Linked DNA regions of Oryzias latipes. The protein of the gene in region 2 purifies or fractionates together with the protein of the main gene of each other region. This does not show direct contact. Links are inferred from orthologs where the notes say so. Each region holds a gene or a part of one and is shown on either strand. Other genes may lie near its edges. The genes, in order: reps1, bmp2k and ap2s1.

Region 1 (9,513 bases), on a different chromosome or scaffold from region 2:
TTTACATGATTTTATGGTTTGGGGGCTCCAAATTTACTTTATTATGATTTTATAGTACGAGGTCCTGTATGTGAGAACTGGACTGAGTGACTCCTCCCCCTGGTGTTCTGAGTACCCGCTGGTTCCAAGTGGCCAAAATCTTATAGACGTCTATGTAGAAATAAACAGCTGTAACTCATTCTATATATAAACCTTTTTGATAATCCTGTTTTCATCATATTTTTTTTCTTTTTTGCAAGTTATAAACTGACCAATCTGATACCTCAATAAAAGTATGTGGTCTCACGTCCAATGTTTAAAATGTTTGACAGATTCTCCCAGACTAGTTAGTAGGGATGTGGACAAATACAGAGTTTCAGTCAATTTTACCCACGATTTCTAGTTCCAACGTGGCGACGGAATGAACTTTATTTTGTTGGAGGTGGACATGAACCATTTCCTGTGAGTGACATCACACTCTCTCACTCCAGTTCTCTGATACAATCAATGATTACGGCGAATACAAACAAAAAACATTAAGTTCTAGCAAAATTAGGACAAAAACAAATTAGCAAACGCCTCGGGATTTCTTTTTAACTAACATCAGTGTTTTTGCAGAAAGACCATGAACATGAAGGTTTTGTTTTTTCTGGATTCACAAATATCTGCTAGACGGACAAGAGCGGATTATTCTGCTGCAGTTGGGATCATGCGGTCTTACCTTTTGATGTTGAAAGACTAACTTGTACTAAAAAAATGGGACTTCAGACTAGAGTTCATTTGTCAGATCCAGCCCCAGAGGAGGAGCAGAAAAAAAGTCAGACGTCAGTGTTGAACATTTCTGTTGGAAGTCGACCCCGCCCCCAAACAAAGATGAAACAGTATCACGTTCTGGCTTGAATTGAGAGGATTTCAAGTCCGACGTGGCCAAATTTGACTTTAATAAAAATGGGCGAGACACAAATGATTGACAGTGATGGAAGACGACGCTCTTCCGGGGCTGAGTAGACCGTCACGCTGGTTTCTCTGTGGCGGTCCAGAACCTCCTGGGCCACCACCAGATGTCGCCCGGAACTTAACGGTCAGTCAGTCAGAGATTTACTCAAAATATGCTTCATTAGAACATAAGATGGATCTGAAATAAAAATAAAGGTCCAAAAATAGTCAGCACAGCTTTGATATGCTAATAACACCGGAGATATTGCCAACACCTAAATAACACACGCTCTTTGACATGCTGTAAATTGTTCAACGTTAATCAGCTGATTCTGACGCACTGAAAAATGGCTTTTATATGGGGTTTGCACCAACACACAACACCTTACATTAGTAAAGTTAGCGTAACGGTGCAAGGACGCTTCTTTCCGCGGCAGAATCACCTGATCTATGTTGATGGAGTAGACACTTCTCGTCCGTCAAGTTTTGCACATCAGTGCAGACGTACTTTTCTCCGCTTTAGAATCCGCTGGAATTATGTTAACTGCGCAAGCGGTTGAGAAGTTTAAAAGAATGTGAACACTGGAGCTAAAGCTCTGATGTTAAATGGCTAAATCTAAAGTAAAGTCAATTTTTTGGAGCCAGAAAACAAGTCACTTTGTTTGAGTGATGGAGGTGTTTGTTTTTTATCTAACAAACCAAGTAATGTTTTGTTTTTGGTTAACTGACATGGTTTCAAATACTTTTAGTTTTTAAATGTGCTTCAATCTGGAAGTGAGCGAGTTATTATTGTAGTTTCATGGCAGCCAATAATTGAATGAGCAGAAAGACAACTGAGTCTTTTCAAGGTGGAACCTGACAACGCTAACGAATAAGCGAAATTATCGATTTTCACATGAGGAAAAACTTACAGCACAAAAAAACCCCGCTGCACTTTCTTACCTTTGTCTTGGGTCGTTGGTTAATCCACGTTACAGCTGCTGTGTTTTCTAATAAAGCCTCTAAAAAAAATGCAAGTCCCGCCCAGTTTCCTCACCGGATTTGACAGGTAAATTTCGGCCAATCATATCAACCAGAAAGGTTAGCGCCCCAAGTGACAAAAACTTCCTCTGAACACTGCACGCAAACCCAGCGAGAGCGCAGGAGCGCAGATGGCAACCGTGGAAAATGCGGGGTCGCTCGGTTGTCAGGTTCCTCCCTGAAAACACTCGCTCAGCTGTCTTTGTGCTCATTAAATTTAAGTTTTGGATGGTTAAGTCCCTTCATTTCCCCAAAATAAAATGTTATTTCTTAATTACAAAAAACAATTTGATTTGTGAGTGATACTTATCAAAGTAATTCAAACACATGGTAACCTTTAAAAGATACTTAAGTCTGAAAACTGTTTTCTTCCAAATCCTTAAACTGCTGTTTTATTTTTCTTTCGTTCCATGTGAATCTAAACAAAAGGTTCATCAGAAATCCCTCATATAGGAACAGATTAAATAGAGTCGGGTGTAAAATAATGTCACTTTTTATTTTTGTGTAAAAATCACACAGCTGCTAATGAATCCTGCAGAGATCCAGGACGTCCATGCAGTTCAACATCTAGAGTCCCACAGCCAGGAGAGAATTAAATAGATGGTTCTGGTGCTGTTAGGCAGCAATGGATGCAAAATGTGCACAGGAGTCCAGGGGGAGGGGGGGTTCCAATATACATCACACGGGGTGGGGGTGGGGGGCTAAGAGCATTCAAACTTCTGAATGACTGATTGCTTCTGCCTGCATGGATTGCCTTTATGTCGTGTGATAGGGGAGGGGGCAAACATGGAACATTTTTGGGTTTAAATAAGATTTCCTCTCAACAGATCTGAGGTCACTCCGTTACCGCGGAAACCTGAACGCCTGAATAGGTAAGAGGGTGTGTTGGGGGAACTCAGGGGGGGTTAGGAGGAGAGAACAAACTGATTGGAAGAAACCAAGCGCTCTGATTGGTTCGTTTCTTCATCTTAAAGCGTTTTTAAAAGAACAAGGCGAGTATAAACTTTTGTGTGAGGTGGGGGGTGGGGTCAAAGTGCGGCTGGGTCGTTCAGGGTTCTGCTGACTGAAACTGAGTTCTACTGATCTGTACCGACACCAGAACCATAAGCACGCAGCAGATGGAAGATCTAAGATATAAAACAACAACAAAAAAAAGCTTTTTCCGCTACGATGAGAGCGCCAACCTCTGAGCCCGAGTCCCTCTGTCAAAATGCATAGTCCCGCCTTTTTTCTGCAGAAGCTCCGCCCCCAGCATCAGCTCCAGGGAGGAGAACGGGGGCTCTTCAAGTTTGTACAGAACTTTTTTTTTCCCCCCCAAAGAGTGAAATGTGAGACTGAAGAATCCGGTCGTTTGGCAAAAAACGCTTCCGTCAATCCCTAAACACTGTAACACCAAAGACAGACACCAGGGGGAGCCGGCGTGTTCCTCAGAACGGAGTGAAGAAGAAACGCCTGTTTGGGTCCAGATCAGGAGAAATGAATTAAGGAAGCTGGAAGACGTTTTCAAGGAGCGGGTTTGGGGGGGTGGAGGAGTTCGTGAAGGTCAGGCACTTGACCGGAGTTTGGTGTAGACACACACACGCAACACACACACACACACACACACGCACACAGACGCACAAGCTTTTGTTTCCTTCTTCAGAGTCCGGACCGCCGGACCGCCAGAGAAAACTGGAAAGTGCCGAGTCAACCGCCCCCCCTTTCTCCCATCCGTCATCCACATCTGATTGGAGGAGAGCCGCGTGGCCACAGTGGGGGGGTTAGAGGTGCGAGAAGGGCCTGAGCTGCTCCAGCTGCACCTCCAAGGAAATCCTCTCCTCCAGCAGGTCCTGCAACGCCACGAAGCCATCAGGAGACGCCCACTCCAGGAACGGCGGGGAGGGCGGGGCTTCTTACCTTCAGCTGCTGCTGCAGCTCGCTGTTCAGCCTCGCCAAAACCGTGTTCGTCTCCTTGTTCCTCCGGATGGACGCCTGGATCGACTTCTTGTCTTTTCCGGCCGACCTGAAAAACCAACGACCTTTTCTTACGGAAATGTCAACAAAAATCTGTGACGTCAGCAGGCCCCGCCCCCACCTGGGGATGGACGGCTGTGTGGCGAGGACAGCCGCCATGATGTTGGACTTCTGCAGCCCGTGCTGCTCGTCTTCAGGCCGCAGCTCATCCTCCGACTTCAACCTTCTACGGACCGGCTTTGGGGGAGGAGCCAGCGGGCCTGAGGAGCCCTTAGCCTGATGGGAAAAAAAGGGGAGGGTTTAGTGGAAGCGGCTCAAAGAAAACCGAAGCGGAGACGGTGTGAGTGACGCACAGAGTTCACCGCCGCCGAGCTCCTGTCATCTGCAGGACCGTCGCTCTTCACAGTTCTTAAAGGCGCAGCGCCCTCCGCCGTCTTCTCCACCTGAGGACACAGAGGACAAAAAAGAGTTGGTGTCACATGGGTGAGGATGTGCTGAATAGAAATGCAGACTCACATGTGAGCAAAATGAAGGTTTTGGGCCCCAGGTTCCAAAGGGTTAAAGTTCAAACTCCGATAATCTTTTCAAAATGATCCCTGTGGTCTTTTAGACGTTATTGTGCTGTTTTTAGCAAAAATCCATCGACATAGTTTCTGCAGAGCAGCAGGAGTTCATTGGAAATTCACCTCTGCCTTGTAGGCGGGGCTGTTGGGGCGGAGCAACCCCGTGCCCCCTTCCCCTTGCCGTTACTGAGACCTCATGGCCCACCCAGTGTATCTTCTACATCACAAGAAAGCTTTTTTTCTCCAACAGCATTTTTACGTCTGCTTCTGATTCATGACATAAGTTCCAGAACGGACCATTCATTGATGTGCGCCCTATAGTGCGGGCTAGTCCTCATACACCAGATGAAACAGAGCGACCTGCAGGTTCTGTAGTCGTTACCATGACGATGCGTCACACCACGTACCAAATAGACGGCTTATTGTGAAAAATGATGTCAAAGTTAAATATATATAGATTAAAGTACAATTAAATGTTTTGTAAGTGAGCGCGGTATGGGTGGGACAATGCCCTTCTAGGTGTCCATTAGACGAACATTTCTGAATGGGATGAATGAAGCTGTTGGAAGGTCTGCAGGAGACGCTCACCTGTGCTTCCTCGCTGTGCTTGTCCACCTCTGGCAGGCTGGACGGTTGCTCGGAAGCGGCGAAGGCCTGAAACTGGCTGAAGTCTGCGAAGTTGGGCTGCTGTGGGATCTGCTGGGGGGAGGTGGTGGTGGCGAGCGCCGCTCCCCTTGCCGGGCCGGCCTCGGTCTCCACCCGAAGCCCGGTGACGGGCACCGACGTCTGCCGAGGGGCGGCGGCAGGAGACAGATGAAGTAACAGACGCACTTTGAAACTTACAGTCCTGACTGTGCTGTCACCTGTGTGGGGAGGGGGCGAGGAGGCACTGCGGGGGGGAACGCGATCGCCGACGGCTGCACCGCTCCCGCAGCAGTGGAGGCGGCGAAAGTGCGATTCATGTCCAGAGACGAGGAGCGGGAGTGAGAAGGGTGGGGGCGGGGAGGGGGAGGGGGCGGGGCTACCACCTTCAGAGTCTCTGGAGACGTTCCCGACTGGGACCTGGATAAAAAAGGTCAAAGGTAACAAATAAAAGCAACCAAAACAAAAACATTACAGTATCAAGTATGCTTTGAGGTTTCAGAGGAAGAGTATAAAGAAAAACCTCAGAGGGACCAATGAGGAACCCTGAGGAACCCCCACAAAGGAATGAATGAGGAACTAAAACTATAACGTAAACAATCTTAACTGGATTTTTTTTATCTACTTAAAGATCTAATATACATTTATAAATATCACACATTACTCTTACAGTTTTATTAAATTTTATTTTTAGGAATTCATGATTTCCTTCATCCAAGTTCCGCTTTTTTGTAGCTTAAATCCATGGTTATGGGAAAATCCTTTAATTAACCCTTGTGCTATCTTGTGGGGTCCAGATGACCCCACCCTTACATTGACATGTTCTCCCCACCATGACAAAGGTGGATAAAGGTGGAAAGATTTCATGTAATCCATGGACACCAGTGAAGATCACAAATCATTGAAGAAAAAAGGTTCAGAGCACTGTCTAGTGGGTCTAGATGACCCAACTCCCAATGGTAAAGTGCCTAGGATAGCACAAGGGATAAACCAAACAGAAACACATTCATTTGATCATGACTCAAACCACATAGACCTGACCAGGACTCAGACCTTTGTCGGGTGATGGGCTCCGGGTCTGAGGTGAAGGAGTCTGAGCTGCTGTAGCCGTCACCTGCAGGAGAAAAAAAATACAAGAAGCTTGCGGATGAAGATTTCTCTTTAGTATTTCAAAAGAGCAGTTTTACTTTGAGAAGTTACAGTAACTTGTTAGCTAAAGTAGATGCCGGTGGGTCGTCTAGTTCTCATTTACTGTCAATGGTTCCCTTACATTCAACATGTCTGCATACCCCTTTAGCTATCTTGTGGGGTCTAGATGACCCCCACTTTCAACGTTAACGTGCCTCGGAGGCACGTTAACGTTGAAAGTGGGGGTCATCTAGACCCCACAAGATAGCACAAGGGTTACATGTGACACGCCAAACACGCAACATGCCGGCATGACCCTGATGAGTGGTTAGAAAACGGCGGGCAGGGTGGACTCACCCACGGCGTTGGCGGCAGCAAACTTCATGGAAGCAGGCAGCTTGGCTTCTTCGGACAGTTCTGGGGGCTTCGCCAGCAGAGGACTGGCGGGGTGGTTGTGGTCTGGAAAAAAACAACAACAAACGTTTCTTTTTAATTTGCTGAGGGTTGTGTACACGAGCAGTGAAAGTGGCGTCTGACCGCTGCCGGTCCGCTTCAGCTCCATCTCCTGCATGTGGATTTTACTGGGCGTCATCCGGATGGGAACGGGGTGAACGATGGCCGTGTCCTGGACAAAAGAAGGAAAGCTTACTTCAACAAAAAGACATAAGCGGACAAACACTAGAGAAGACACCATGTATCAATCCACTCAATTCTACAGATTTGCTAAAAAAAAGACTTGGCTTTTCTCCACATCATCACATATTTTTCATTTATATTAAAGTCAAACTCCCTAACTGAACTTTTTTCCAGACATCTCTACAGTTTCCCTTATTATCTTCATGAAAAGCTATCATTAGAAAACATGAATGCAGAACAGCTGAAGGGAAATAGGAGTTTTGTTGACTTTTCTCCCCTTTTTTCCCTCTTTTTAGCCTCACCAAACTCAATGTAAAGCCTATTCTGATGAATTCCTATTCAAATCAGAGTCCTGCATCTTTCTGTTGAGACACTGAACCACTGATTTACAAACAAACACATCTACAGCGTTTGTCCAATAAAAGCAAGCCTCTGTTTTGGCTCAACTCTGCACCTTTGGACTGCATCGATGGAGACTCTCCAAAAACCTCAAAGTGCTCTTTAACCTTTAATTCTGAACACACCGTCACACCTCAGACATTTCCATGAAGCTACAGCGGTGGACATGCAGCCATTCAAACTCTCACTCGGATCATCTTTTGATGGATGGTCTTTGAATTATGATTGTGCTGTTTTTAGCAAAAATCCAAAACCCTGTGTCCTTTTCTAGTTTCTGCAGAATAGCAGGAGTTCATTGGAACTTCATCTCCGAGAAGCAACTGGGGCCCGCACTTCCCGTCATCCATCTGTTTACTTCCTGTCCCCTCTTACAATCCCTCATGCCCCAACCCAACATTAGCAGTGAGCAACATAGGAGCTTCCAGATTCCAGCTCAGACGAGGGAAACAAAGACGTTCATGGATGTATTTGTCTGACAGTGGATGATCAGAATGGAGCAGAGCTGCTCAGCATATTTTCTTTGTAGCAACTTTTTCAAAATGGCATTTTTTCCCACAACGATTAGAATAAAGACTCTTTAACTGTAATTTCCCTAATATTTGTCCATCATCAGAAAGAAGCCATAAGAACACGTTAAAAACACTATTTTCAACAGAGCGAGTCTTTAAAGAGTCAAAGCGATGTGTGTTCATGCTAGACTTTTCCCTCCGCTGCTTCTGATTCTGTTCTGCCTGCAGGACATCGATGAAAGCAGCAGAAAGCGACTAAATCCTGGCTTTCAGATTCCGATGGCATCGTATGAAGTGCAGAGCGGTCGTCCGTCGACTAATGTGTCAAATTTTCAGGACTGCGTGTTTTCAAAGGAAGCTGTTGATTGGTGGATGTCAGCGTGGAGGAAAAAGGGGATGCTGGACAGAGGAAGGCAGGCGAATCACAACGGCCGCTGAGCTGCAACCCGGAGACATTCATGCTCGGAGACAGGCAGGGCGAGGGTTAATGGGTCGCTGCATCACAGTGACAGCATGCAGACTAAGTGATTGACTTACAGGGTCAGCTGGTGCAATGTTAGAGTCAAATTGGGTCAGAGTTTGAGAGCTGGAGGAGCGCTCGCTAAACGTCTCCCACTGCTGCAGGAGACAGACAGAGAGTGAGAAAAAAAAACAAAAACACGTCAGTCAGCGGCGCGGTGACATCACACATGAACATCATCAGTCTGCGCCGGTGCGATGACGGCGCGCCGGAAAAGATCAGCAGAATTATCAGAGATTACATTGAGGAGGAGGATGGAGACAGACCACAGCAGGCCGATGAGGAAAACAGAGTCATGGATTCAGAGTCAAAGGCAAACGCGGCGCTGAGGTGTTCGTCTGTGAGCGTGTGCAGAGCGCTCAAACCTCGTTGCTCTGGTTCATCTCGGGCCACGCCTGGTTGAGAGACGGCATGGAGGGGGACTTGTTGGGGGTGCCCTCTACAGGTGATGCCGAGTAGCCAACATCTGGAGTCGGCTCCGGGACTTCTGAGGGGAAACAGGAAAACCGTTTCAGGTCAGAGGTAGAGGTAGAGGTAGAGAGAGAGATGCCTTTATTGTCATGACGTTGAAGCCATCACCATTTACAGTGCAAAGACAAAAACTTTCCAAGACAAAGTATCGTCTAAAAATATCACTGTGTACAATAGGTGCACAGTGTACAACGGAAGTGTCCAAATATGCAAAATATGAAATGTCTGTAATTGTGTGCAGAGGTACAGCTATAAACATGTCTGATGTGCCAAAACAGCATGGAGGCGGGGAAGTGTTGACAGCTTTACGATGGATACATACTTAAATAACAGAAATGTAGATGGACAAATACACATGTATTAAAAAAATATGCGTTTGGTATGTGCTGTGGCAGATTTTTAGACCGGCTTAATGTCCGATTATTATCATGAACTGGCCTGAGTTCATCTGTTTGTCTGTTTTTGTGTTTTATAATCCAATTTTCCCGGTAAAATGGTTCTACATGGAATCTAGTCTGAACAGACAGTTGTAGTTTCTTAACAGAAGAATATCTAATGCTGCTTTGATTTAGGAAAATCCTTAAATGTCCCTTTAACAAGTTTTTGCAAATTCCAATCTGTGCATTTAATCTCCCTCCTCTATAAAGTATCTGCAGTAAATTGTTTTTGTTCCTTAGGCTTTGTGTAAAGTTCGATTCACATTTTCACTGAACTATTTCAGCGAAAGCCACAAACCAGACACCAACCTGTGGTGGAT
Region 2 (10,741 bases):
CACTGCTAATGTTGGCTTGGGGTTGGAAGGGGCTGTAAGCTAGTGGGAGAGCATGTAAACAGATGGATGATGGGAAAGGTAAACTTTGGAAGTTTAAATGATTGCACTGTGCTGTTATCTCTTTTCTTTTCATACATGGCCTTCTGCACCTCTGTGATCAGCCCACCTTTAGATTGATTCCTCACCGGGTCCTTTCTGTCCAGTGTTTGCATGTTCTGTGTTTGCATGTGTGGGTTTTCTCTGAAACCAAAGAGAGACTGTGTTCCTGTGGTGGACCTGACTTCCCTGCAGCCCCCCTGTAACCCTGTCTGAGTTGGAATTGGTGATGGGGGAAGGAATCTTTTGTGTTTCCTGTAGAAATGACTGGAGAAAGTGATGCAATGGTAGATATTGTTGTACTTCCTGCTGCGACGGCTTGATCTGCCCTGGTCCAGGAGCAGGCGGTGTGGAGTCTATGGGGCTACGATTACCGACCGCAGGCACAGCAATGCTGCGGGACGCCGTGCTGTACAGGCATGATGCTGAGAAAATGTCTCACTTCATCCACAAAGAGTGGTGTGCCTAAACTTTACGATGTTTTTCCTGCAGGAGGATTTTCTGTGGTGTTCATGGCCCGAACGCACAGCGGCGTCCGCTGCGCTCTCAAAAGGATGTATGTGAACAACGTGCAGGACCTGAACGTCTGCAAGAGAGAGATCACTATCATGGTACGGCTTTGGTCACGAGCCAGCGCTTCAGCTGCAACAGTTATCTTCTTCTCAGCTGAAGCCTTTTGAGCTGCATTCCGGTGCTTTCCTTCATAGAGACGTTCTTTGTAGTGAAAGGCATCTCTCTAAATACATATGTAACCTGCAGATCTCCAGTAGAAAGTGACCCAGCAGGACTTCACTGTTCAAGCAAGCACTGATATGAATGGACTTCATGTTTCCTTTGAGCAGCCAGTCATAATGTAGAGTGACCAGAGGTCCTGGTTTAGGGAGGAGGCAGAAACTCCTGTTGGCTGCTCACACTCGCCTGTCCCTCTTCTCCCCCACGCTCAGGTCCTCTCCCTTGATGGGCTCCAGGTAATTGGTGGGCCCCGCCCAGGAAGAAAGTCATTTTAGCCACACAAGAAGAAACAGAAATGCACATTTTCATGGAAACTGTACATTAAACTGCTGTAAACAAACAGACATAAAATAATAAACAACTCAAATCATTACAAACCACAATGGTAATCAAACAAATCCAACCCCTGCCCCCCCCCACTTTCTTATGCCCAACCCCCAAACAGGAAGTGAAGGCCGCTGCCAGAAAGGAGAGCTGAGAAACCAGAAGTCAATAAACAAATTTAAACCTGTGTATGTTCTGGATCCGCTCAGCGGGGCTGGGACAGACGGGTGATAAGTCGACACAAGCTGCTCACAGAAACAGTTTTACATTTAGATGGAGACAAAATCCAACCATAACTTCCTGAAAACCTCCTGTCATCCCTTGTTAAGCACACGTTGCTTAGCAACAGTCAAATCAGGGACAGCTTTAAAACTATCGATGCTGGTGGGATTTCAGAACAGACGTGTTCATATTTGAATTTTGAATTTCCATTTTGTGTAAACTAAGAATGCCTATACATTGAATAAGGTACCTCTATGTTTAACAGAAGTCACAAACATGCTGGAGTAACAAGCTTGTTTCTATACAACTTTCATCCAGACCATAAACTTGCCCTTTTAGGTCTCTAATGTGCACTTTACAGTAACATTAATGTTGAAATGAACACTAAAAATCATTAAAAGAAGACAAAACTTCCAAAGCGATGTGTGTGGCAGAAGTTCCCGTGAGGTCATGTGATCGATGGCTTCCTCTTTAGACTCCAGTATTTCCAGTTGAGCAGCTCTGACAGGCCTCTGCTTCCCAGCGAGGCTGAAGGAGCACAGCAGTAGCCAACGTTGGCCTCTGGTATGTGTGAGAGCTGTAGTAAAGTGCTGCAGACTGCAGAGGAGCATCCGCCTGCAGCTCCGTCTGCTTCTGTCTGCACGGCCTCGTCACCTGGAACACGGACTTCCACCCCTGCACTTGCCTCAGGTGTGTCCGTGTTCACAGCTCTCAAACATGCCGGGAACTGGGGATGGAATTAACCTACAAAAGTAGGAGGCAGGAAGGAGGATAACAAATGGCAACACATCTCACTATTTCATCTTTTACAGGGTTTAACCCTTTTTCACCCAAGATGCCGCTGGCAACACCTGAACAACACGCTCTTTGATGTAAATCTTTGACCGTTCACGGAATCGCCATGAATCCGCTGGTTCTGATGCGACGTGATGTCATAGTGGCACATTACTAACATAAGGTGTTGTCTAGCTGCTTTTCTCTGCAGCAGAATCACTTCACTGCCATGCGGTGTTGGTTATCAGCACTAGGCTGCTTTTCCCGCTCCAGAATCCTCTGGAACTACCTTCAGTGCAATAAAGCAGTACGATGGTGGATAGAATGTCAACACTGGAGCTGATTCTCTGCTGTTGAAAGGGTTAATCTGTCTAAACCCCCCCCGGTCAGTATTGCTCATTTGTGCTCCTCAGTGTTTTGCCCTGAACTCTCTGTCTTGTGTGTAGAAGGAGCTGTCAGGCCACAAGAACATCGTCACCTACCTGGACTCCACCATCAGTTCTTTTTCAGACAACGTTTGGGAGGTCCTGATCCTCATGGAGTTCTGCAAAGGTACGGCCTGTGTTTGTGCACAGAGCTTCTAACTGTGTCTGTGTCTCTCCAACTACCATGAAACTATAACACGCGGGGCGGTGTAGTGCCCAGGATTTTAAAAGCAATACGCACCGACCACACGCTCACTGCTTTGGTCTTTAAACTGCGATTATGACGTCACCCATTTCACAAAGTAAAATTGTGTTTTAGTGTTTTATGACTCTTTATGAACTGTCCTGATGATTAAAACATTGATGATTTATTAAAAAATACATTAAAATAGTTTTTCTGCAGAAATTGTTCAGACACATTGCATTGTGGTCTATGTATGCCAGTCTAGTGAGCATCGATGCACACTGGCTTGTTGCAGAGACTTCTGGGTTGTTTCTAGGGCTCTGGATTTTGGAATTGTAGGTTCGGACAGCACTAGAAAACGGCGAACGCGCCATACAGCGCAGGAATTCAGACACAACAGAGAGATTCTGCTTTTCTCACATGACCTCAGATAGTATGAAACGAAAGTAGAAAGAGATTAAGCAGAGGAAGAACTTCTGCAAAACTCTTCTCCTTCCTTCAGACTTTCAGTTTTTCTGCTGGGACACGGCGTCTGTGAACAACCAGCCTCCCTAGAACTTTAGTGGTCTTCCAGACTCTGGAGGGGTCAGCGATGGTCTTCTGATAATGTCTGAAGTCTTCTGTGTGTTCCACCAAAATGAGACAATTCAATGAGACACGGTGAAGCTTGCAGACAGTTTGTTGGTGAAACTGTTTAAAAACGTATACTTTCTGTGTAACATAAGTTCCATTGCCAACAAAGAAGTGGGCTTCAGACTTGGGCATCAATGCAGACGACTCTTTTTGGTCAGAGATTTGCTCAAACACTTTTTATGAGCGGGAACCGATTGAAATCGTAGAGTCCTGGATCTATATTCTATCTGGCTTGTTCGGTGACTCTTGCAGCTTTTTTCTGTCCCTTGTTGAACCCGTTCTCCAGCCTTGGTCTTGACGTTTCTGTTGGTGCTCCTGCAGCGGGTCAGGTGGTGAAGCAGATGAACCAGAGGTTAAACGTGGGCTTCAGTGAAGCTGAGGTCCTCCACATCTTCTGTGACACCTGCGAGGCCGTGGCTCGCCTGCACCAATGCAAGACGCCCATTATCCACAGAGACCTGAAGGTGAGACGCCGTTTCCCCTCTCCTCACCCTTTGGGGCTCTGAACTCACCTGTGTGCAGCTAACTTGAGCTTTGGATGGTTTTGCTGTAAGGTTACAAGGGTTTTTCACCTTCACTGAGAACCATGCCAACTGTGGTCAGAGAGTCTCCACAGAAAGGACACTTCATGTTTTCGTTGATATTCGGAAGTGAACGCTCAGGTTCAGTGTTACATCCAGGCTCTTAGATCAATCTGTGACTTTGGATATAATACAGACCTGGTGAAGTGGGGGAGTTTAGAGAAGTCGGCGTCTGTCTCCAGAGTTGCTGCTCTGCTTCTTGTTGGCGTGCTTCAGCGCGTGACTCGGCCTGCGATTCTGACGCCTGTCAGACTTTAGCGTGACAGCGCTGCAGACGACAGCAGCCCCTGCAGTGCATCGATGTGTTTTAGTCTCTGATTTCCAAAGGTCAAAGTTCGTAATAAATGTTTCCACTGAGCAAAGAGCTGCCAGGACGTTTCTGAGGAAGATGGACATTCTGAGCCTCATGCAGAAGCTGCATCGTCTTTCACACATTCCTGCCAGAAGAGGGCTGCGTTTTGATGACACTGCCAAGCTTGAAGCGTCACGCGTGATCAGGAACTATGGTCCCAGGATTTCTCACTACCAACCTTGTTTCACCAAAAACAGGGTGGATCTGCCAGACTTTGGGAAATCCCTGTCCAACCGTCCGTTCATGTGGTTCTTTTTATATTGAGTCTGCATTTACTGATGCTCAGCAACTGATGATGATTTCCTGCTGTGGCTGTACCCCCCCCCCCAGCGCCCCGTCAGTGGGAACGGTCCCTTCAGCCCTCTGTTGTCTGTCGGCTCAGCTTGCGTAACGCCGCAGGGACACAAAGGAGCGCGGGGGCCCGGCCCCGCTCTGCCAGGGGAAGTGAGAGTGCAGAAAAGTCCCCTGACGCTCAGAGCATGAACGGCTTTCTGTCAGAGGTTCGGTCCTCTGATCATCAGAGATCCTCAGCGTAGCGTCATTTAGGTTCCTCTCCCCTCCTCTGCTTTCTTTTCTTTGCGTTCTTTTTGCTCTGATTCTTGGCCGTGCGTTTCTTCTAGGTTCCTCGTCACACGGCTCGTGTTTTGTCTGGTGGTGGTGCTCCAAAATAAGAAAACGGTGACATGGATCAATGCTGATGTTCTGAGCTTCTATGTTGTAAAGATTGGAGTGTGACACATGCAAAGACATGGGACTCTGACGTTCAGTCACCAACACGTCTGTGAACATGCTCGTCACTTCCTGTCAATGACGTTTCCTGTGTTTGTCCTCTAAACGCCTGCACAGGTGGAGAACATTCTGCTGAACGACCAGGGGAACTATGTGCTGTGTGACTTTGGCAGCGCCACTCACAAAGTCTTACTGCCTCACAAGGATGGAGTGACAGCTGTGGAGGATGAAATCAAAAAGTGAGTATTGTTCGGCTACACCTCTGACTACAAAGGAGGATGGCGGTTCTCTGCATGACTCAAACCATGCAGTGTCAGTGTCAGGTGGTAATCTGCTTCATTCCTGTCCGTCTTTGTTCTGCTCGGAGCAGCACTCCGTCATAACATTACAATAAAAGCTTCATTTCCACCATGGATTTGGATCTCTGATGGGCAGAAATCGACCTTTGATCCCTTCAATCTCACAGCTTTAATCAGCAGGAATTCTGCTGGATGCTTCACTCACTAAAGGAAAAGGAGGATTTGTAAATCGGGCTAAACGTCTGATTTGGTCTTCATCAGTGCGGGTCATGTGGACCCACAAGACCATCCATGTTTGCTGCTAGTTGGTTTTCAATAATGGCAGCAACCTTTCAAGACGGATCAGTGGAAGAGAGAATAAATATGTGACTCCACGTTCAAGGCAGATGAGTGACAGAAAGGTTAGAGACCCTCCTGTGTGGGGTCAGAGGTCAGAGTTTGTATGAGGTTCATCAGAGCGTGTGAGCCAGAGATCCTGATGGACTCCTTTATATTCTGTAACAAACCCTTCTTGTCTCATCATTCATTCTGCCTGAAATCTTTCCACTGATCCATGATGAACTGCCTTTCTAAGTCCTGGTATGTTTTCGTTCTCCGCTCGGTGAAGTGTTGTTATGACCTCCGGAGACCTTTGACCCGTCGCTGACACGCCTCGTGTTCCTCCTGCAGGTACACCACATTGTCCTATCGGGCTCCAGAGATGATTAACCTGTATGCAGGAACCGGCATCACCACCAAGGCTGATATTTGGGTAAGACCCAAATATGGTTGGGTGTGCAGCGTCCTCCACACCACAAGCAGGACTCTGCAGTCCCATTCAAGCCTCCTGTGTTTGTCATCAGACGCTGGTGTCCTCGGTAATGCTCAGAGTGGGCTTTAGCTGTTTTCTGGGCACCGTGGTCAGAGCTGGAATCAGATGTTTTAGTGTCGCTGCAGGAATGTGGCTGTCGCTGACTCATCAACTGCACATGAATCACATCAGCTGTACTGTTTGGCAACTTCCCCCTGCAGTGACACTTCCTGTTCTTTCCAGGAAGTGACTCTATATGTTGAGCTAAGGAACAGAATCAGGTTTCTGTGGTGTGGATCCTGTCTGATCTACTGGATCAGCTGTGTGAAGAGTTTGTTCCAATCGTAGCAGATGAAGAAGAGAGATCTTCTTTACTCTGGCTGGTTACAGACACACCGTATTCTCCTAGAAAGGTGACGTCCACCAGAGCCAAGCTGAGAGCAGGTCTGCATGAGGACGAGGACCAGAACAGGTCATTTTTAGAAAAGCTTCGGTTTCTTGAGCTCAGCTCCAATGCTTCTTCAGAAGAGCTGTTGTTTCTGACTCTGATAAAGGCCTTCATGGCCTGTCTAACAGGCTGGAACAGGTGAGGGGCGGTCCTTCAGGTGCAGGCGTGGCTCACAGAGCCGGCTCCTCTGGTTCTCATGTGCTCGACAAACGTGTCCCAGAGGTTTGATTCTCCTGTTGTGGAGACGCTGCAGTCATTTGAGTCGTCTGTCAAAATCCTGGTCTTCTGCTTTTTCTGTTCTGCATTCATGCTGCAAAGTCCAGAGCCTGTGACCCCCCCCCCCCCCCCCCCCAGCACCTGAAAGACGGTGTGATGGTGGTGTGGGCCCACACATGCATGTCCTCCTGAAGGCTTCCTGCTCTTCTCCTCAGGCCCTGGGATGCTTGCTGTACAAGCTGTGTTTCTTCACTCTTCCTTTTGGGGAGAGCCAAGTTGCCATTTGTGACGGGAGCTTCATCGTTCCGGATAACTCCAAGTTCTCCTGCAGGCTGCACTGCTTGATCAGTGAGTGGCTGATGTTGGTTCATGTCCCCTTCCAAAGGCTGCCGGTTCAACCTGGCGTGAGGCGGGTGACCCAACATGCCGCCTGCAGCGGGTGATCGTGTGGAACAGTGGACTGTGGTCTTTGTTCCGCCGCGCTAACAGCCTGTTTGAACCGGTTGACTTTGCTTTGATTGACGCCCCCCAGCAGGATGTCCACCCCTGTTCAATGTTGGATCAGCAGCACCACCAAGTGGCCAAAGTTAAAGATGCACTTTTGTGTCTGCTTCAGGATACATGCTGGAGCCGGACCTGGAGAAGAGACCAGACATTTACCAAGTGTCCCACTTTGCCTTTAAGTTAGCGGGAAGAGAGAATCCGGTACCAAACCTGTGTGTGAGTGTCTGCACTCGCCCCACTGGCACTTTTGCACCTGTGCAGGTGTTGACGGTTCTGTGTGTGTTCTGCAGAGCTCAGCCATCCCCACATCGCTCCCGGAGCCGCTCACAGCCAGCGAGGTTGCTGCCAAAAAGAATCTGACAAAAGCCAGGTGGTGTGGCTGTTCCTGCAGGCTAACACTTCCACGCACACCGCCACGCTGGTTACAACATCACAGACGGTTTGGAGGTTTGTTGGTTGTTGGGTTAAAGGTCAAATTCTTCTGTCCAGGATAACCGACTCAGTGGTTCCAACTGAGACCTCCATAGCTCCTAGACAGAGACCAAAGGCTGCAAACTCCAACGTTCTCCCCCTCGCCAACACCGTCACCCCGGCCAAGATGACCGTGCCTTCCACAGCCGTCAGCAACGGCCAGAAAGGTAACGGATGGGTCCAGTGTGACGGCACAGCCATGGTTTAGCCTGTTTCATGCTAACCAGCTTGGATTTGAACTGCAGCTTTTTAAAAAAAGCTTTAAAGGTTGGCATGAAAGCAAGGCTGCAGAGCCAAAGCAAAGACGACGTGCACAGACCAAAGCACCTCCTCCTTGTTCATTCTGTACCAATAAAGGGAGGAAGCTGTTTGGAAGCAGTCATGGCAGTATTTCTATTCACTAGAACTGAAGTTTTCATCCACATTATCTGTTTTGATCCATGCATTCAGACTCTTTTTTTATTAATATCTGTGAGGAAACTGGAGATTCTAAACAGGACTGTAAAATAGGTAAATTAGGCTGGTTCGTTCCTTTCAGTTTCCTGCACACAGAAATGAATGAATAATGACTCAGAGACTAAACTTAGCTTCAGTGAAGATTTACTCCGCACAAATTTGTACGAAGGGTTACAGACAGATGAACAGGGTTGCTGCATCAAAGTCCAAACAACGGAGCTCAAAGTCTGAACAAAGAAAACAGGGAAATGGGCTTGGTATGTGAGCCCTGCATTTGCATATTCAGAAGGTCTTCCAACGCACAACGATGTGAAAATCACAGCCACAGACTGTTGCAGGCTAGGTGCTCGAAGGTCAGAGAGCTTAAAGTGTCAGATCTCTCTGAGGTCACAGACATCTGCCAGGACACCAGCACACACAAAGATGAAGGGGAGGAGACTGAAGGAATGTCACCAGACAACAGTCTTGGTTGTGCAAATGTAATATAATTTTGAGGTGATAATACATAGTGAATCAAGTTTAAACCATCAGTGTAATAAAAAGTAAAAGTTAGTGTAATAAAAGGTAAAGGGGAGTTTCTAACTTTTCTGTTTCTAATTATTCCTAACAATATCCTTATTGTTGTACCGTTTGGTTACAATAGGTGTCACTTATGGCATTTCTTATTTCTTTGACTTGATGAAGTATTTCAGCTTCCTTTTCTGTCAACAATCACACCAGCTTTTTCCCAGGAAAAGCCTTTCTGCTCGTTTTCACCACACTCTTCATTTGGACCCCTCAGCCCCCACTACCAGCTCTGGACAGCCTTCCATGCAGGCCCAGCCGAGCTGTCTGCAGAACCGAATCCTGCAGCAGCTGCAGCCAGGTGATCTGCGTCTGCAGCAGCTGCAGCAGCAGCCTGCAAATGTGCAGCAACTCCAGTACCTGCAGGTACGGACACGCACAGCTCAAGGTTTTGGGTTTTCACACTGAGCTCTGACGGACATGACTTTGCTCAGTACCAACAGGCAGTGCAGCAGTCCCTCCAGCTGCAGCAGCAGCAGCAACAGCAGCAGCAGGTCTTGCTCCAGCAGCAGCAGCAGATGATGATGATGCATCCCATGTACCAGCAGCAGGTCGCTCAGGCCCAGTATGCGGCTATGGTGAGTTCTGGAAAGAGTCTGGATTTGACCCAATGGCTGCCAGGACGCAGTGTACTCAGTGAAAAACTGCAGACTTCATCCAAACACATTGAGGCGCAGCGTGAGGTCCATGATCCATTCCATGTCAGAACGGATCCGTTTTGTTCAAACCTGGCAGCAGGCCGTCTTCACTCTTCACCAGCCACTTGCCAAGCAGCATCACAAGCAGACGCTCAAACTTCCTGCTGAAAATCCGTATTTACGCAGCGACGGAGTCAAACACAAACACAGGTCCTCCAAACATGCAGGAAGGGTGGCTCCATTTTTAGCCCGCTCTCCACCAACTGCACACCATCTGCTCCACTTCAGAGGCAATCTGGTTCCAGCAAAGCCACCAGGACTCTGGAAGGCTTCAGTCTAGCACCAAAGGGAGGAGCTTCCACTGACACCTCCGGTTCTCAAGACGCCGCCTGCCCCGGCGCTTCCTCACTGGTCCACTGTGGCCTTTGGCTCTGGCCTCATCAGGAGCACAACAGTCCTGATCGGGCCCTGACCCAGAAATCTGCTAGAGCTGTAATGAAACGGCCATGAATGCATGTTTTCATGTATCGTGTTTCTTCTCTAACAGATGTTAACGCTCAATAACCATTTGCTGCTGTGTGTTTGAGGACTTGAACTGTTTTGAAATGTTTTCTTTCATTGCATCTCCATGAACTCAGTGGTCCGCCCCTCATTCCCTCCCTCCTCCTCCTTCCCCAACAGCTGCACCAGTACCAACAGTCGTTTGTGCAGCAGCAGCAGCAGCAGCAGCAGCAGCAGCAGCAGCAGCAGCCTCTTCCCTACACATCTTCCCCTTTGGAGTTCCTGGGACCCTTTAATGCCTCCACTCCCACTGCTGGGGCCGCTCAGATGGGAGGACCGTCGGCTCTGGATCCTTCATACGCCACCCCCAGGTAACATACCGGATTCGCCTGTGGGTGGGAGGGGCAGAGTCACTGCTGCAGCTTCAGCTCATATTGAGAAGATTAAACATCTCTTGAGGAACTGTGTTACTATGGCAACACTAAAAGTCAATGGACTCAGAGCTGACCATTTCCCTTTGCTGCTCCCATGTGACGCTTTGCTGAGGCGTTTCACTCCGTCTAAAAACTCCAGGTGGATTGTGGCCACACCGTGTGGTGTGGAGCTGACCACTGATCAGGGTATGGTGGCCCCAGAGGTCTAAACAGGAGGAGGGTTTGGACACCGGGGAAAATGGGATAGAATGTCGGTTGATGCTCAGTAAATGATGTCTGCCATTTGCTTTCACTTTTTCAAATGCTTTTTTATTTCATAACACGCCTTGCTGAGGGTCTTAACCGGCGTTTCTCTGCCGGTTAAGACC
Region 3 (11,476 bases), on a different chromosome or scaffold from region 2:
AAAATTGGGTAAAAGGGCCTCAACACTTGCAGTGGTGGGTCTGTTTAAAAAGGAAATAAAACTGTATTGCCAAGACTCATTACTACAAAAAAATAAACCCACCAGATGATTTGTCTTATAAGCAATTAAAAAAAATCTGAAAAGTCTGAATTAGAAATATGCATAGGTTTTTTTTAATGGTAAAGCAAAACAGCTGTTGCAAATAGTAGCTTTGAAAAAAAAGAAACAAGTCTAACCTGGTTGGCATCAGTGTCATTTAGCCAAAGATGTAGACTTTTCCAAAAATAATAATACAAGTCCCAAACAGGGGTGAAACAACCAACATTTACCACAGAGGACAGAAACTAAAACAAGCTAAATGTGTCAGCATTTACCTGAATTTAAGTTGCACTACTTTACTGTGCAAAACTAACATGGCAAAAGACAGTTTTTATTCTCGAAACACAAAATAAGTGTGTCAAAATGTGATACCCAGGTACAGTACACACCTTTCATATTTAAATTGTACATTTTATCCTTAAAAAATAAAAACAACTTGTGCACTTCATAAAATTTACAATATATAAAAAATACAGTGACACAAATGAATACTTTTCAAATCAGATCAACATAAAAACAAATAAGATTCAAATGTAACACATTTAACTTAAAATATTAAACAGTTATTATTGAATAACTCATAAATATAAAGTAAAGGCTCAACAACTCATACACCATGTTCAACAATAGTATCTGTCCAATGCAAGAGGCTCCCTGCTTGTGTTTAGACAGGAGGGAAAAAAACAATGCACATTTCAGGAGCCAACCTAGACAGTTTTAAAGCAAAATGTCAAATGAAATACTAGTAAAGATAAAGTCACAGTATGCTGCTTAACTGGAATAACCTCTAAAAGAGTAGGTTTTAACTTTGAACTCCTCACGTGGCTCTCATCTGAACTCTGAGGCTGTTGGAGGGTCGAGGGAGAGTTAAAAAAAACTTTTATTCACTTAAGTTTGGTGTCTACCTCTGAGGAGGTGTAAATGACCTTCTGGGTCTACAAAAGTCTGAAAAGTCCTTTGTTTCATCGTAAGGAAACAGAGAGGAAAACGAAAGCAGTCATAAATAAACGTAAATTATCTTCCAAGACACAAAGTGACCACACCAAGAAGCAAAGTGATAGCAATTGGAAACAGCGCGGCCACAAGAGAATGAAACACAAGCAGGGTTTGTAGCAGGAACAAAAACTCTGAGTACTAAACAGGGCCACAAATGTTAAAAAATAAACACAACCACGTTGGACATTGATTTGTCCAATCAGTCTAATCAAGAAGTAAAAAAACAGTCCCGTCAAAGGTAAAATCGCCCTTTTTGTACTACATTTGAACCGTACCGTAACGATAAACAACCAGTAAACCTGTCTGCTCTATGCTGCTTCATGGTCTTACCCCCCTTCCCCTCCTATTATCACCCTCCTACCCCCCTCTCTCTCTAACGTCCCTCTCTCTTCTTCCCCTCTTTCCTTTTCCGTCCGGTCCAACACCAAAGATTTTCAAACATGATTGAAATTAATAAAGTTTGGCCTCAATTACAAAAGGGGTTTATTCAGACATACCTTTGGTTTGTCTGAAGATGAATAACCCCTCTTGTTAAAATAAAATATGTCCAACACAAGAGGCCCTCAGCTCTCATCTGTTTGCCTAGCTGTTGGACAGGACAAGTTAAAAAAAAAAAAAAAAAAAGGTAAAATCGAATCATTTCAATTGGATTTGAAAAGTCATCTATTAGGAGAATCATTTGATGATGTTTGCATTGTGATTAGTTCAGCCACTGAATGATAATTAAGTTGTGTCTCTAAGGAGGACAGTATAACAACTAAGAATTGTCTGATTTGTTGTAAAGACAACAAGCTAAGAGCTCAAACAGATGTTTAATGTTTTGCAGCGGGACCTTGTTCGGAATGAATTCCCTGTGACTCTGCCCCTCCCTCAACGTCTTCCAACAGCCCAATCCAGACTTAAACATGTACGATGAGCACAAATGTTTCATTTGATGCAAAAATGCAGGCTGTTATTTGAAAGCGGAATGAAGTGGGCCTACTTTAAAAGCCAACTAAAATTTTCAATCCAAAAGGATTAATTAAAAATATTTTGGTTACTTTTTCAAATTGGTCATGTTGTGCAAAAACAAGGTCAGTGAATTTACCTCTCACCATTCTTTACATGACTGAGTTTGAAGAGAAACTATTCAACTTGTGACAACAAGAACATTAAAGCTGAAGTTTGCTTTTTAAATAACAGTAAAAGCTTAAACTTTATTTTAATTTTAACCACCCTGCAATGGAAAAAACAAGACAAATGTAAAATTTAATGACTGTTATCAGGGGGTGAGTTGCCTTGTTTTTTCATGGGATGGGAATTTGTAATAAAGTGAGTGTTTATACATATTTTGAGAGAGTTATGCCACCAAAAAAATACATGTTCAAGCTGGGTTAAAAGCTCACATTTGGTTTTCTGTCCAATCGTATCACTTAATGTTTTTAGCAATATTTGCATGACCCCACTGCAAAGAAAGATTAACATGGGTCAAAGTTTCTGTTGAACGATCTGCTTCTGTTTTCAAATCCATTTTCGGTTATTTCAACACAGACAAGGCACAGTATAAGCAATCTACTTGAACTAATAAATTACAATGCTATTTAAGATATTTTATTTTTTACAAAACATTAACAGAGTTCCGCTGTTTTTTTTACACATATACCAAAACATTGCTGAAAGAAATAACTAGAAGAAAAAGTTTTTACAAAGGATTTTTGGCTTTTTTCTTCTCTTTATTGTAGTTTATTTATAATAAACATGTTTTTTTTCCTATCTGACCTCAACCTCTTCAACATTTGCAGCTGAATTTTTGCTGGGTCCTTGGGGAAACACATTCCTTCTGCTGCAGTTGTGCAATATCTGATAATCCCAGTCTCCCCAAGCATTTAAATTAAATCAGGAAGTCCACATTTCTCCTTTGCAGTTATAAAAGAGGAAAATATGTTAAATTGCAAATACATAAAAAAGACCAGGGTTTTATTCCAAAGTTAACTCGTTATGAAACAATATTGAATACTATACAAATTAGACTTTTGTTATTTTCGTCTGTAGCCATGGCTGCTGTAGTGTCTGTGGCAGTTCTACCTTGACTTTCGCCCCCCTCTGCCTCCGCAAAAAAAAGGAAAAAGAAAATGTTTCCTTCCTTTCACCACACTTGTGTTCAGGAGAAATGAAATTGGAAGTGAAATTGGAAGAGTCTGGATTCACACCCTTTGGCATTTGGGATTTTGAAGACACCTGCTGTATGAAAGAGGAACTGTCTGGCTCATCCTTTTGACTACTAACAGGTATGGAGAGAGCTCCAAATATTTTAGAAGTCCCCATGATTTGCACCTAACATTGTATCATTCTATCCTACTTCTTCACCAGTTGTATCGCTTTCAGGGTCACAGGGCTGCTGGAGCCTATCCCAGCTACTGTTGGGTGAAGGCAAAGTACATCCTGGACAGGTTGTTAAAAAGGCCATAACAGAGATTGACATGTATAAAAAAAATGCTTTGCCCTTTTAATAAATATACACGGTTTTAAAACCTGGTTTTTTGTTTCTTTATTTTATTTTATTTATTTATTTGCAGCAAGAGCTCTTGGTCGATTGACCGCTATGTCCATGTCTAAAACCCGCCAATGTGTAAATATTTAACACAAAAAAGTGTGCATTGCTAAAGAAAGAAGGTGTTAAAAAAAACTGAAAAACTGATACATAAAAAAACCATTGCAAATCATGTGACTTGTTGAGAACTGGACAAGTTCTTAAAAAATGAACACTGGTGTTTGTAGTTTCCTGGTACATTCCAGGAGTTCTTATCCAACCGTTAAAAACACATTTCCCATGGTGCACCACAAATCAACGAAGCTTTCCTTTTTCCTGTTAGCTAGTGCAGATAACCGACGAGCTCTCGCCCGAATAACTGCTTTTTAATGTAAAACCACTAAATTGTTACTCAGGAACTCGATATTGTTGTCACCAAAGGTTCTGCTAAGGAGACGAATATGGTAACGTCGCCTTTTTTCCTCCATGTTTTGTTTTTTCCACCCATAGTCTTTCAACATTGAATTGCTAGCATTGGTGGGATTCGTACCGATATGCCGTTCAATGAGTCACTTGACAGCCTTTGCTAGACTTCAGAAAACAAAAAAACAAAACAAGGAATACAACCTATTTAGAAATTATTCATATTTTATGAATTCTATAGCAATTAAATTGTTCGCAGTTTTCTGTCGGGAGGCAAATGCTAATGTAACGCCGCTGTCAGATTAGCCAAGAACGTTAACTAACTAAGTCAGGGAGGGAGCCCTCGAAAATTTGTGGATGTTTTAATCTCTGGAATTGAATTAACTGCTACACTTTATTTGTGGCGTCTGCTACGCATTTCTCTTGATTTCTTGATTTAAAAATAGCTATGCCTTGCTTACTTATTTTCTTTTTAATCCCAAAGATCCGGTTCATTCTCATCCAGAACCGGGCAGGAAAAACCCGGTTGGCCAAATGGTACATGCAGTTTGATGATGATGAAAAGCAAAAGCTGATCGAGGAAGTACATGCTGTGGTTACAGTCAGAGATGCCAAACACACCAACTTCGTGGAGGTAAAGAAGTTTACTATTCATGTTGTCAGGCAGTGGTTCAGTGTTCGTTTAGCTCGATTTCTTTGATAAAACTAGTGTAGATGACTGTTTTTCAAAGAAGAAAATATAGCTTAAATTGTCAGCCTTCACCGATGCTTCAGTAGATTTGGTGCAAACACGTGCAAATTACTTAGAATTATGACTCAAGATGCTTCCATCATCAAGCTCAAAATTATTCAAACGCACAGCAAATACATTTTGTTGAATCAGCAAGTTTTTACCTGATATGAAACTAAAAGTGATTGAAAATACATCTCAAATTCTATTTGAGTTTGTATAATTGTAGTTTTGAGGAGCAGCTAACAGATTTTCTCTAATTATTCAAAAACCCCAGGGGGATTTTTTAACTCATTTTTTATTTTTTTCCCCTGTTTCTGTATAAGCAAATAAAGTTGTTTCTGCTGCTGCAAAAAAACATCCCGCTTCAAATCCTCCCATTTCTTTATTAAATATGGATATAAAGATGAATATATATGTTTGTACCACATTTATTTTTTTTATGATAAACATAAAATTATCATGGTGTGTTTTGCCTCAAAGTCTGGGAGCCTATACCCCAGTAAATCTGCTGTTGTCATAATATGAGAAACTCTATTATTAACAGGCTGATTCCACTTTGTTCCCACAGTTCAGGAACTTTAAGATCATTTACCGGCGTTATGCTGGGCTTTACTTCTGCATTTGTGTGGACGTGACTGATAACAACCTGGCATACCTTGAGGGAATTCACAACTTTGTGGAGGTGAGTACACATAATGTGCTCTGATCATTTTGTTATCCTGGTCAAATGTGTTTCGTGTGTCTGACCTTTTTTTTTCCCTTTTACTTATCATTTTCTAGGACTGGGTTTTGCCTAAAAACTGATGATGTATCATTCCTCCAACCAGTTTTATGTTATATTTCTGCCTAAAAACAATTTTGTAAGATTTTGATTAACACTTTCAGAAGGATAGGTTGTTCTAAAACTTTACAAATAAAAATAGCTGAAAAAATGTTTTGTTTTCCCTTGAAAAAAGTTGCTTCAAAAGAAAATCAGTTTATAGATTTGATGAATCAATATATTGAAAAAATGAAGTTTTGTTTTAACCCGACCATACCCCTTAAAAGTTTATCATGCAACATTTATCTTGAGATCATTTATATTAATTGTAAAATATTCATTAACAGATACCATTTCCATGGGGTAAAGTTATAGTTTACCCAAAGACATCATTTTAGATTTAATAAGACGATATCGTTTGGGATCTCCTTGTGACAACAATGTAATCTGTTTTGAATTTTAAAAACAAAAAGTGAGCAACATGTAGAAAAAAAATGAATTACGTGAATATCAGCAAATGGATAAATTATCCTCAAGTGAACTTCCAAACAAATAGATTTAATGGGCAATGATTTGATGGTAATTTATGTTATTAACAGTGTTGTGCTAATTCAGTTGCTTTGGAAAGCTTGAAGAAGGAGAACGGTCACTTCCATGAGTTTAACAGTCTGTAGTGACACTTCATTAGTCTGTGTGCTGTCCTCTCAACAAGCTGAGACCCAAAATGTTGCTCATGAGTCTTTCCCGATTCCTGAATGAAGCTTAGGATGTTTCCTTTGTGTTCTAAAAGGTCCTGAACGAGTATTTCCACAATGTGTGCGAGCTGGACCTGGTCTTCAACTTCTACAAGGTAAGAGCACTTGAAAATCATCATTTGTCCATTTGCTTTTGACTTATTTTACAAATGCCTCGTACAAGAAAGTATAAACAGAAGGACAAGTCAACAGAATTTCCTTTTTATCTGTTTAAAACTTGGATGAACTCCCCTGGATTGAAAATTCAGTTAAATGAACATTTCCAAACTTCCCTTGTTCCCCTGTTCAGAACATTCTGCTATGGTTAGTTAATTCACTTATTCTTCTGTTTTGTTCTTCCAAATTATTGCCAAGATACTAACAAGCTGTGAAGTGATACATTTATAACATTAAAATGTTCAAAGCATGAATTCTGGTCTGTATTCCTTTAATGGATCAATTATGTTGAACATTTTTTTGAACATTTGAATGTCAAAAATGTTGTTTTTAAGAAGCTGACAGATTGTTTTTCAGTTTGGAATGGAAGCATTTTTTAAGAGAAGCAATTTTGCTCAGTTTGTGACCTAATTTCCCGTGAACTCTTGGTTTTTCCTTTTTTTTTTCTTTCTCATTTCTGACCTTGTCTGTTATGTTTTTTCCCCTCCAAGGTGTACACAGTAGTGGACGAGATGTTCCTGGCAGGAGAGATCAGGGAGACCAGTCAGACCAAGGTCCTTAAGCAGCTTCTCATGCTTCAGTCACTTGAGTAAAAACAAAATCCTCTGTCCTTCTTGCCCACCGGACATCCAAAAAATATATATAAATACAAATACTTTGATGTGTAATGTCACTTCATATACAAATCCTCTAGTTTTTCAACATGCCAAGTGACAACAGGCATGTGGACGAGGACTACACAACATCCACTTTTAGATATCCAATCAGCCGTTTTTTTTTTTTTCCCTGCAGTTTTTTATCTAACCTTCTGAATCGTTTTAAAAGACGTCTTTCACTACATTTCAACGTGTCAGCATTTCAAGTTTCTTTGAGTTTTTTTTTTGCTTTTCTACAGCCAAAGGCTGCAGAAATGAGTTCTTCTCCACAGTTATCTTTTCATTTATGGCATTTGTCAGAAGCAACTGTGACGGCAGTCTTCTCATTCCCACATTAAACAAAGCAATTCTTTAGCGGCACTAGAATTTAGAAGCCCCATAAACTCAGGCCAGGCCCACCTTCCCTTTACCTTATCTCTGATTGAAGTAGCCTGTTTATCCAAAATAATGTCTTTAGGTGGCATTTATAGTTCTCTTGTGTTCATGTGTAATGCTTACATATGCAGATGTGTGTGACTGATGCCAGAGCTTGTAAGAGGGTGGTACAATGCAGGATTGTCAATCAAAACGGTGCTCTTTGGTCACTGTTAACATTTAAAACGATCCGGAACAAACAGGCGGGTTTTATGTGAAGCACTACTTTGGGTTTGCTTTGTGTGATCTGTGTAAACAGTGTTGTCTGTGAGTATTGTGAAATGATTGGTCACGAAGATTAATCTTCAAAAATATAAACTCATTTGAGATTAATACATTCCAACAGTGTCATATGTGCATTTAAAGTACTGTCCCTTTGGACTATCATTTCTGGTGAAATCCCATATTTTTACCTTTAGTTGCTTCACATGTTAGACTTTGGGTTTTTCATGAAGACAATATTGAACTATGTACCCACCTGGCATTTGATAGAGTGCTAATGGAAGATGTTACTGTCTTAAATTCAGCTGCCTACATCAGCAGTCCCATTTTGTGTAAATAAACAGATTTATCGTTCAGCTTTTCTGTTATTTCTTCAAAGAAAATGTGTACAGTGTTATAAAAAATACATTTAAATTCTGGCAGCACCATCTAGTGGCCAAACAGTAACATGAATGTGATGTCATCTCAAGCCAGTCTCGGGTCAATAAACCAGTCAATATATCTATTTCAGCTTCATTAAACCACTTAATCTTTCAACTTAAGAGCATTAAACTAATTAGAAAAACGACCTGTATTTATTTACTCATTACATAAGCCTTCTGATATCCTAACAAAGCTGGAAACCTTTTGAGGCAAGTGGCTCAAAGGAGGAGAAACCCTCTACAATCAAAATCTTTATTACTTAGACTTTTAAAATAAAATGTACAATTCTTTTGATACAGTATATAAACAAAACATACATGACATTTTGAAAATAAAAGTGCACTTTCAGAGGAGGAAAACCCCAAATACCTGCGAATGGACTCTACATACTTTGGACAGTTCTATATTATAGTTACCCTTCAGTGTGCACACACGCACACTTTTTTCTTCTCCCCTTCTCTAAAGGCCTGTTTAGAAAACAAACCTGAAGGGCAACGATGACTTACAAGGATAGAGTCATCACTTCCTGTGCATCCCTTCCAATCGGCAACGTTTGGGGAAAAGCCAACCTTAATAGAGGGGGATCTACAAAAACAAAGCACAACCTGCTGTCGTTTGTAGGATCATCCCTTGTGCTGCATGTGTTTGTAGAAAGTGATTCAAAAGTAGGTTGAGGAAAAAGAAAATCCAGCAGCGGCAGGCCAAAAAAAAAAAGAGATTTTATATATAAATAAGTACGTTTGGGACTTTGGGATTTTAAATGGAATAAAAATATTATTTTCGTGCTTCTTAAGCTACACAGTGAACTGAGTAAACAAAATGTGTTGAAAAGGTGGAATCATTAGGAATTCTAACTATAAATTCACAATTTGTAAAACTCTTTATATATTCACATATACACTTTGAATGCAAACCAAATAAAAATACAGATTCCAGCCTTTAGAGACAACATCCAGCTGAGGCTCACTTTACATTCAATAGTTAGCAGGTTCAATGTTCAAGAAAACTTTAAAAGGATAAAGGATGTGGTAGATTCTATCATTTTCAATTTCTTTAAGTATACATGTTTCGAAATACAAACGTTTCCACAATCACATTTAATTTTGGGCTCATCATCAGTCATGTCAGGAGACGCTAGATAAGAGTGCTTCAAACAGTGACAGTAGGAATTTACAGACAGAAATGTGCAAGTGCAAAAAGCAAAGTTTCTAAAACCTGAATAAAAAAAGAAATAAAAATCAAAAGGTTGACCAACAGCAGCCCATATGGACCACCGTTGACTCGTCCTTGTCTGGTAAGCAACTGATGAGGACATCACGTCCTTATGTCCCCATCACGCTCACACTGAAGGGATGCTTCATCCTAGATGCAGGGGCAAGATGGCCCCCTCAGGTAAGGAGGCTTAGCGAGGGCCAGGGGCTTGTAGGAGTCTTTGTGACCTCACTCATCCAGGTGATGTAAGGTGAGTGAGACTATAGGGTGAATGGTCACACACACCAAAACACCTGGAGCTGAACTGAAGGACTGAGCAAACAAAAACCAAAAGTTGATGCGAGGCCTGTTTTTGTCTAAGTACTTCAGACAAGAACGCTCACTGACCTGTAGGGGGCGTCCTGTCCGCGTGGGGCTGCAGGCTCAGGTTAAGGCGTGGCCTGACCCCTAGCAGTTACACTGCTGCTTGTTCTGTGTTGTTGTGCCTCTCGGCTGTCGCAGCTGCCTTAGAGACGCGTCTCCATACTGAATCCCTGAACCCATCCTCTCTGGGTCCAGCTCTCCTGCAGAGACCATTGCAGAGAATGGGAAAAACTGTTACCAAAATAAAATACAATAAAACAGATTTTAAAAGAGGGGGCGGGGTAACTCAACACCAACCCACAACTCAAAAGGCGAATTTCTAATGAACTACTGCTGATCTGCAGGAAAACAACTCCGGATTTTGATTTTGGTTAAAAATGAGATAATCGTAATAAAAAGATCAGTGGAAAAGAAAGTTAAAATATGTTAAAAGAGGATTGGAGTGGGACTTCAAGGTATTAAATCTTTTGAATGTAGAACATATTTAAAACTACAATATGGTCCCCAAAACAACATAAATTGTGCAAATACACACACAAACAAAGAGACATGCCTGTTTACCAAAGACTAAAATATACCTGAATCTATCTTGTTGAGGATGGTGCGGGCACACTTCAGGAAACCCTCCTCCACATTTTCGCCTGTCAGTGCACTTGTTTCTAGAAACATCAGTTCTGTGTGGACAGAAAACAACCACATGATGGTCAAAGGGGGACACGACGGATCCAGGAAGTGTAAGACATGTTCAGCGAGGACACACACAATGTTTCTAGACAAATCCGTTACCATTTTCCTGAGCGAAGCGTGAAGCTTCCAGGAAGGTCACCTCTCTGTCTGCATCCAAGTCTTTCTTGTTGCCACACAGAATGATGACGATGTTGGGGCTAGCGAGCGTCCGTGCATCAGTCAGCCAGTTGGACAGGGCGTTATACGTCTCTCGGCTGTAAGACACAGAGATGGACATTTTTGTGAAACAGCTCAGTATGAAGACCAAACCTTGATATCCATGGTAACATGAGGCCAAATGTGTGGGACAGAAGGGTGGAGGCCTGGGCTCTTGATGCTTTACAGCTGCTTTCAATAGCAAGAAAATCTGACGCAATTCCTCCTCCGCACACCGATGGCACAACTCCAGCTCAGTGGGATTGTGGTTCTCATGTTCCCCTCGCCCCACTCCATTGTTCTACATCTTGCCCCCGCTGTTCCTTCCACAGCCTCATCCGTCCACTTCCTGTGCTTTCGCTTTACTTGGCAGTTTTGGTTGATGGACTTGTGCCGTCCAACGCAGAACTGTCCTGCATTGTTCTATAGCTGCTGTCAATCTGTGCTCTGCCCCCGCCCTTTTGCAAAAGCGAAGGCCTTTTTACGATTGCAAACAGCATTACCGGTACATGTCTGTCGAGCTGCATCGGCGTTTCGCTCATAACAGTTTGAGAAATACAGGCCTGCTTCTGGTTTTTCCATCTGACTGCATGAATGCTCACTTCCTGAAATGCAAAGTTCAAGGAGCTAACATAAACATACGATGTCGGTAAGCAGAGACTTAAAATCCCACTTTGATCACATTTTGATCTATTTTCAAAGTGCTCCCTTTGTTCCTTTAAATATCATTATGCCCTTTTTTAGCCAAGAAAAAAAAAAAAAAAAAAAAACACCAGTGTCATTTTCTAGGAAATAGTTTCTGCAGAGCAACAGTAAGTAGTTCATCAGAAATTTGCCTCTGACAAGCCCCTTTACCCTCCCCTGTTGCTGAGA

What was found.
Region 1: the proteins of bmp2k (region 2) and reps1 purify together in Homo sapiens (affinity purification with mass spectrometry; 3 studies listed by BioGRID and IntAct, counting the BioPlex papers as one, with this or other methods). This does not show direct contact. The link is inferred for Oryzias latipes from reciprocal best matches to the Homo sapiens genes BMP2K and REPS1.
Region 3: the proteins of bmp2k (region 2) and ap2s1 purify together in Homo sapiens (affinity purification with mass spectrometry; 4 studies listed by BioGRID and IntAct, counting the BioPlex papers as one, with this or other methods). This does not show direct contact. The link is inferred for Oryzias latipes from reciprocal best matches to the Homo sapiens genes BMP2K and AP2S1.

What each region holds. Positions count from the first base shown.
Region 1 is NC_019882.2:19,510,248-19,519,760, reverse strand, and holds the end of reps1 (ralBP1-associated Eps domain-containing protein 1), read right to left. Parts: intron 8,773-9,513; coding exon 8,651-8,772; intron 8,384-8,650; coding exon 8,303-8,383; intron 6,847-8,302; coding exon 6,759-6,846; intron 6,681-6,758; coding exon 6,579-6,680; intron 6,208-6,578; coding exon 6,147-6,207; intron 5,514-6,146; coding exon 5,315-5,513; intron 5,238-5,314; coding exon 5,040-5,237; intron 4,332-5,039; coding exon 4,242-4,331; intron 4,165-4,241; coding exon 4,010-4,164; intron 3,938-4,009; coding exon 3,832-3,937; intron 3,765-3,831; coding exon 3,696-3,764; 3' UTR 2,413-3,695; downstream 1-2,412. UniProt on the Homo sapiens protein: May coordinate the cellular actions of activated EGF receptors and Ral-GTPases.
Region 2 is NC_019867.2:32,752,808-32,763,548, reverse strand, and holds part of bmp2k (BMP-2-inducible protein kinase), read left to right. Parts: intron 1-588; coding exon 589-707; intron 708-2,594; coding exon 2,595-2,700; intron 2,701-3,711; coding exon 3,712-3,854; intron 3,855-5,169; coding exon 5,170-5,291; intron 5,292-6,020; coding exon 6,021-6,102; intron 6,103-7,020; coding exon 7,021-7,153; intron 7,154-7,421; coding exon 7,422-7,525; intron 7,526-7,599; coding exon 7,600-7,679; intron 7,680-7,798; coding exon 7,799-7,947; intron 7,948-9,017; coding exon 9,018-9,166; intron 9,167-9,234; coding exon 9,235-9,378; intron 9,379-10,119; coding exon 10,120-10,310; intron 10,311-10,741. UniProt on the Homo sapiens protein: May be involved in osteoblast differentiation.
Region 3 is NC_019871.2:14,616,891-14,628,366, reverse strand, and holds ap2s1 (AP-2 complex subunit sigma), read left to right. Parts: upstream 1-3,913; 5' UTR 3,914-4,065; coding exon 4,066-4,068; intron 4,069-4,511; coding exon 4,512-4,661; intron 4,662-5,328; coding exon 5,329-5,442; intron 5,443-6,310; coding exon 6,311-6,370; intron 6,371-6,922; coding exon 6,923-7,024; 3' UTR 7,025-8,081; downstream 8,082-11,476. Other genes in the region: ras-related protein Rab-4B, read right to left, coding at 9,806-9,921, 10,300-10,395, 10,508-10,662. UniProt on the Homo sapiens protein: Component of the adaptor protein complex 2 (AP-2). Adaptor protein complexes function in protein transport via transport vesicles in different membrane traffic pathways.